Linked DNA regions of Caenorhabditis elegans. The protein of the gene in region 1 interacts with the protein of each later gene in a pairwise test. Each region holds a gene or a part of one and is shown on either strand. Other genes may lie near its edges.

Region 1 (3,756 bases):
TAAAAAATTTGCTAACTAACAAAATTTCCGCAACGTTGTACTTAATACTTAACAAATCGTTAGTTACAAATTTTTACTATCAACAATCCAAAAAATGTTATGCGCCTTTAAACTCAAAAGTTTAATGAAGCCCTTTTCTTTTTTAACCTACAAACTCCTATACCGTCCTCAAAACTAAAGTTTTAATAAACTTGTTAAATATTAAAATATTCAAAATTTAGTGATTAACAAAATGTTAGTTGATAACTTTTTACTATCAACAATCCAAAAAATGTTATGCGCCTTTAAACTCAAAAGTTTAATGAAGCCCTTTTTTTAACCTTCAAACGCCCATATCTCCCTTATGGCTAAACTTTCAAAAATTTGGTCAACTAACAAAATATGCAAAATTTAGTGCTTAACAAATTGTTAGTTGATAACTTTTTACTATGATCAATCCAAAAAATGTTATGCGCCTTTAAACTCAAAAGTTTAATGAAGCCCTTTTTTTTAACCTTCAAACGCCCATATCTCCCTTATAGCTAAACTTTCAAAAATTTCGTCAACTAACAAAATGTGCAAAATTTAGTGCTTAACAATTGTTAGTTGAAAACTTTTTGCTACCAACAGCCATAAGGATGTTATGCGCCTTTAAACTAACCTAATCCATATTCAAGTCTTCCCATTATTGTAAATTTACAGGTGAATATCTTGCTCATCTCCCTAATGGCTTTAGCGTTTTAAAAATTCTAAACTAACAAAGTATACCAAATTTTATGCTCAACAATTTATCAGTACACAATTATCTTCTACCTCCATCAGCAACCGAGTTATAACCAATATTCACTAGGGCGAACTTGCATACTTGCATACTCACCTGCAGTCCTCCTCCCACCAGTTTATGCATCATTTCCTCCCTCCAACTTCCTTTAGGTCGCCAGCATCCAGATGTTAGAACATGTTTCCCGGGAGAGGTAGGAAGGAGCAAAGTACCGTACCCAGCAATTTCCTGTCTACCGTAGTTGTCATGGTGCCAGATTTGGAGCAAAAGTCGGGGCCAACCTGGAAATTCCATCTATGTGTCGGGGGTGTCATGATGTCTCTTACCTTGAATACTGGAAGTTGCCAGGTGCAAATCGATTGGATGAGCAAAATGAGCATTTTCGAAAACTGAAGGACAATCTGTCTGAGTCTGACCCTCACTTTCACCCTGAACCACTCTCCAACCGCCTCCTGGAAATTTATTTATTTTTCTTTCTTTCTGATGAAATTTTTTTTTTTGAAGTTTCAAAATTCTAGAAGAATTGAAAAAATCAATTTCAAACTCGAAAATTTAAATTTCCCGCCGACCGCATGTTGCAAGTTCGCTCAGACGCGAAAATTGAAAAATTTAAATGTTTCTACGTTCAATTTATGAAATTTAAAATGTTTTTACAGAACGATTGTAATTTTCAGGGAAATTTAACGAAAAATTCTATTTTCCCTCAACCTATGTGCTATGCAAGCGCGCTCCAATGAGAAAATCCATGAAATTAATAATTTTCACGTTTCAAACTCGATGTACTGATAAAAATCGAAAAAATAACAACATTTTAATGTAAAATACACGAAAAACAATTTTTCAATCCAAAATTTGAGGAAAAACTCAAATTTTCCGCGAAAAAAATCGATAATGCTCTCACCAAAACTGAGTTGATATCGAATCGATAGCCGATTATCACCGAATCCACGTGCCGATAAAATTTGTCCCGAAACGAACACTTCGGCCATTTTATCCCGGAGGGAATCAATGGGCTCCGCGAGCTCCTTGGAGTGGAAGCCGGTTGCCACGGCAACCGGGTGGTGCAGAGGTGCCCAGCAACCGGGAAAAGCGTGGAAATAGATTGAGAAATGTCAGAATTTAGTAAAATTTCGATGTTCTTCAGTAATAAAAACCATTTTAATATTTTTTAATGCAAAGATCACAAAATTTGGCCACTTTTTCAGTGGAGCGCACATACAGTTGGGGCAAAGTTTGAATTTCTAAACAGAAATTGGATTTTTTGTTAATTTTTAGAGGAAAAACTGTTTTTTCTTCACGAAGACTTAGTTTTTCAACGATTTTTCGGACAAAAACGCAATTTTCTCATTAGAGCACACTTACAACGTTCGGTTGGAGCCCACGGTAGCACAGAAACTAGATGGATTGGTTCATGGTACTCAGTCTGGATACCTATATTGGCTACTATCTCGAAAACCATCACAAAAAAAAAACCATCACAAGATTTTGCGATGCATATAAGAAATGGCCGCAATGAAATTATCTATCTTTTCTATTAAGAAATTTTTTGATTGAAAATTTCCTAACCGGTCAAATTTGTGTTTGTTCGGTGGAGCGCGTTTGCACTCATCTAGCTGCTGTACCACCGTGTTTGAATTTCTGAACAGAAATTGGATTTTTAGGTTATTTTTATAGGAAAAATCGCATTTTCTTCACGAAGACTTAGTTTTTCAACGACTTTTTGGGCAAAAACGCATTTTTCTCATTAGAGCGCACTTACAACGTTCGGTTGGAGCAAATTTTAGTTTTTCCAGTGAAAAAGCCAAATTTTGTGCATTTCTCAACACAAAATGTGAATAAATCAAAAAAGTTCACTTGGGTTCCCGAGGAAAACGACAAATTTCGCCAAATTTCCGAATTTTCTTATTAGAGCGCGTTTTCAACATGTGATCGGGGCGCGATGTTCAAATTTTTCATGTAAAACGTGATGAAAATCCTAATTTTGCATATTTTATCAATGAAAACACTGAAATTTCGCTATTTTTCGAGGTGGTTTTCTCAATGGAGCGTATTTGCGCCTGCGCGAAATTCAAATTTTTCAGTCAAAAAATCAATTTCTATGTAGTTTCAAGTGCAAATTGAAATTTTAGGTAGTTTGTCATTAGAGCACAATTGAATTTCCGCGAAATTCAAATTTGCTCATTTCCAAATCGATTTTTAGTTCCTTTCCGGTCAAATTTGACCAATTTTCTTGCAGAAAAATCCCAAAAAATCCAAAAAAAAATATCAATAAAAAATACATTTATCTCTTGGAATGTAAAGAAATCGGAGAGTGTGTGAGGGGGGACTGACTGACTGAATGTTGTAGTTTGTCATACATAATAAGAGTAAAGGCGCGGAATTTATCCCTAAAAAATAAAGGAAAAATTCCAAAAAAAAGACGGGAAGGCGAGCATATAAGTGAAATTTCATCTAAAATTACACTAAATTTTAGGCCAATCTACTACTTCTAAAACTTGTAAAAATCGTTATATTTTTTGTCATAAAATTTTGAAAAATGTTTTTTTTTAATTGGGTGTAGTGAAAAATTGCGACTATCACAGGAAAATTGGGGTAAAAAAATAAGAAATTCGAAAAAAAAAAATTTTTGTTCTTGGGTGGTGATGGAGGGGGGAATGTGTGTGTACAAAATTCGGTGGTATCCAGATGACGTCATCACTTGTTCAAAAAATCGATATTCAGCTTGAAGAAGACGTATGGATAATATTCGTTCACACCCAGCGACATGAGAGCTGGCGAGTCTTCCAAAGTCTGCAAAAATTGAATTTTTCGGCAATTTTCTCATTAGAGCGCACTTGCACTCCATGTAAGCGCAAAATTGTTGCGGGGTAATACCTAGGAAATCACGGATTTTTGCAATTTTTGTCAGTAGAGCGCACTTGCATCGTGTGTGTGTGGTCGGCGCGAAATTCAAATTTTGCACAAGATTTTTGAGTTTTTGGTCAAAATTTGGCTAG
Region 2 (3,756 bases), on another chromosome or scaffold:
TGGGAAGAGTGGTTTCCTGGGTCTCCTGAACATTTTTTCCACTAAAGTTTTGCGGAATGTATTTTTGATTCATAGTTTTTGATTTTATTTAATGGAAGATGAAGTTTCGTCGCATTAGAAATACTCTGCCAAGAGATATTATTTTTATTAATTTTCAGGCCAAAACTTGTTTATTTTCTACAAATCAAACAGTTTACAAGATATAGCCCTCAACTGTACGTCTCCTTTTCGGGAATTCAATAATGAGTACAATCCTGTAATAAAATTTTCAAAAATTCGTTTTCCCGCTGACTTATCAGTGATAAACGGTTTTCAAACATCTTTTCTCAAATTGACATTATTGGAGAAAGCGGAATCGAAAGACGACTCCTCTCCAGAAAATTTTCTTCCCTACATCCCTGTTGGAGGAATATCCCGCATGGCCGAGTGGTTATTGCGTATGTCTCAGAAATTTTGGTAGTTGGTTCAATTCTGCCAACTGACAAACTTTTTTGTTTTTTGTGAGTAATCGGGATTCGAATAGAAATACTCGATTTTATACAAAATATGGGTGCGTCTCCCCTAATAAATATGGGTGCCTCCTCAAACTTCAATCAATCAAAACTCAGCTTTAACTGATTCAACGGGTGCTTCTGTTTTTGGTCAAACCGAACTCAAAAATCAAGAAGACTCCCATTGACCTACTGAAATTTTCACGAACCCACTAACAGGTTCGAGGCGAAGCCGAGAACCTACGCCCGGCAAGGGGACTCGCCTTACACCCCCTACAACTGGCGGGCCCGCAGGGCCCGCTAGTCGATAAGATATTAAATTTATAATTACCTATGCTACAAGAAATTTTGAAACATATGCAAAAAAATTTATTAAATTATTATAAATTGAACCAAAAAAATGCAACAATATTTTTTGCTGGGATAGCAGGAAAACGCTCATAACACCAGAAATACAAAATTTTTGTACTTTTCGTATCTTCTGACATATTTCTTCTGCAACTCGTATCGATTCTGGTTCCAGTGACGTTGTTTTGCATGACCTGGAGAACTGAACAATTTTTTAAATTTAAATTTTTTTTGATATGTTTTATTGAATTTTTAAAAGAATGCTTTATCCGTAAAAAATTTTTATCACAGTATTTTTTTTGATGTACCGCAGTATGCTTGATAATTTCAACAAAATGTTTTTGGCTTTGGAAAGGCAGTTTTCAAAGTCTTAGACGCTATATACCGTATTTCCTCTATTAGTCTCGCATGCTCGACTAATTTCCAATTGATCCGTAGGGGTGCAAAACAACTAGAGACAGCCTCATAACTTGAAATAAGTGGCCAAATTTTATCAAAAACTTAACCGTTTAGATACCGATTAAATCACTAAAAGTACATACTTTTCCTATATTTTGTCAACAATTTGAACGCTTTTAAGTCTAGTTTTTCGAAAAAAATTCTGGAGTTTTCACACAGTTTTGCTGGACCGCCAAAAGACGTCTTTGCCGAGACTATTAGATGGTGCAATACTAAAAAAGGCTGCAAAACTAATTTTCGATTGGCTAGTATGGTGCAAGACCAATAGAGGAAATAAGGTAATTGTGTTTGATAAAACTACCATTTTTCAAAACGTGAAAATTGTCTTGTTTGGATTCTCCCACCACCTCAAAAAAGATTTTACAATTTTACAAATGTATTGTAATGTTGAAGGAATTTAAATATTGCGTCAAATTTCTTAATAAATATAAAATTTCAATACAGTTGTCCATTCACCAGAGACTGAACAAGTTTTAACTGAAACTATCCAAAAAAATCTGCAATTTTTGGTTTGATGCACATTTCTGTAATATGTGAACTTAATCTCATCGCATGCATTGCTCAAACAAAATACCGAAACTCGGTTTTCAGTTTTGTTCACTAAAAGTCCTATATCCTTATATTCTCCTAAATCCGGAACATCTAATAACCAATCGACAGTTCCTTCCGGTTCTCCAGCTCTTCTACCAGCTGGTTGTCGTATCCATCTGCTGCGAGTGCGCGAAATGCAGGTGCCCTCCCCCTTCCTTGTCTGTCCCTCCGCATTGCACGCTCTCTCTATGCAGATGTTCCCTTGGCAACCTAGAGACTAGTTTACGTAACGCTTCTCACAATTTTGACATTGATTGTCAGTTTTGGAGTGTGAAAAACGATGGAGAAAGCTGATAGTATTGTACTGACAATTCATGGAAACGTTCGGACTACCGAGGTAATTTTTTTCCTATTTTTGTTGTTATAACTTCAGAAAAAAAATGAGAGCTTCTTAACCTTATTTGTTAATACAGGTAGTAAAACAAGTGAAAATTTCAAAAACTAGTCACTTATTCTTTTGAAATATAAGTTCGAAATTCATATTATAATAAAAATTCGTATTTGCCAAAAAACTCCAAAAAGTCGATTAGATAGGTTTTCACAGATATTGCAGAGCTGTTGGTGGTGCTTTTTTTGAAAAATACGATTATTTGCACAACCAGCAGCACTTACCGTTTTATTAGTGGAAGTTTTGACAACCATGTATTTTCAAATAGTTTTCTGATAATTTTTTTTAGAATATAATATCTGCAAAGTTTAATAGATCAAAAACAGATAACTTTTTTCGCTGTAATGTGCCGAGCAATTAAATATAACTGAAACTATAATAAAACTAATTTCAGTTCCCGGAAGAATCCAATGTTTGTGTCAAACTGAGCACTGTTGCAACAGGCGATTGGAAAATAATCAATGGAGAGACAGTTTCACTATCCTCGTTCTCATTTCGAGGCGCTGATAATCAGATTTTCATCGATTTGCCCTTCGAGTGTGGTTTGAAAGGAAGCAGCCCTTTTATGTGTGAGTTATTTTGTAAAGGTAATTTCAAACAAATAATACATTTATGTACATTTTTGATATATGTATTATATATATATCAGTTATTTTTACATTTTAAACTTACAAAAAAACAAATAAAGCAGTTGACTTATTTTTTGTAAAAACCAATGTACAGTTAAAGTGAAGTTGTTGGAAGATTACTATATATAAAGTAAATTTTCCTTCCGTCCAATGTAGGCTATGCCAACACGCAAAATTACCGTTACTTTGAAAGTTTTCATTTTCAAAAAAATCAAATTAATTTCAAAATTTCAATGTTATCTTCAAGGGGTATTTGAAATTTATTCCAGCCAGTTGGATGCGCCGGAGGCGCGATCAGCGTCTGGTATATATATATATATATATATATATATATATATATCAGTTATTTTTACATTTTAAACTTACAAAAAAACAAATAAAGCAGTTGACTTATTTTTTGTAAAAACCAATGTACTGTTAAAGTGAAGTTGTTGGAAGATAATTAATAAATTTTTGTTAACATATTTTCACTAAAAGTGCAACTTTTCAGGGCCTCGTCTTGTACTCAACTGTTTTTCTAAAGACCATTCTGGTAAAGATTGTGTGACTGGCTATGGTATGCTTCCGATTCCAACAGAGCCTGGAAAGTGAGTTTTAAACAATTTTTCACTTAGTTCAAATCAATTCAGACACGTTTGCCGAGTACACTGTTTCCTGCCAGAACCTTCTTCGACAGTTCAGCAATTGATTGCAAAGTTGAGACGAGTGAATGCAGAGTTTGTGGATCCAATGTTACCGGCGAATGCAGATGGAAGATATGGTAAGAATCAAAATTTTGTAATTTAATTGTTTTTGCTGTGAGAATAGAAGTAAGTAACACCGGGAACAATTATCTCATTTTAAAATTAAA

Evidence for each region. Proteins that work in one complex are often made in the same cells at the same time.
Region 2: the proteins of mksr-2 (region 1) and mksr-1 interact in a two-hybrid assay, tested with the Caenorhabditis elegans proteins (3 studies listed by BioGRID).

Annotation. Positions count from the first base shown.
Region 1 is NC_003282.8:2,304,792-2,308,547, forward strand, and holds the start of mksr-2 (B9 domain-containing protein 2), read right to left. Parts: upstream 1,757-3,756; 5' UTR 1,750-1,756; coding exon 1,662-1,749; intron 1,213-1,661; coding exon 1,087-1,212; intron 1,042-1,086; coding exon 857-1,041; intron 1-856. Other genes in the region: vha-11 (V-type proton ATPase subunit C), read right to left, coding at 3,455-3,550.
Region 2 is NC_003284.9:1,067,447-1,071,202, reverse strand, and holds the start of mksr-1 (B9 domain-containing protein 1), read left to right. Parts: upstream 1-2,073; 5' UTR 2,074-2,169; coding exon 2,170-2,226; intron 2,227-2,671; coding exon 2,672-2,846; intron 2,847-3,396; coding exon 3,397-3,493; intron 3,494-3,535; coding exon 3,536-3,666; intron 3,667-3,756.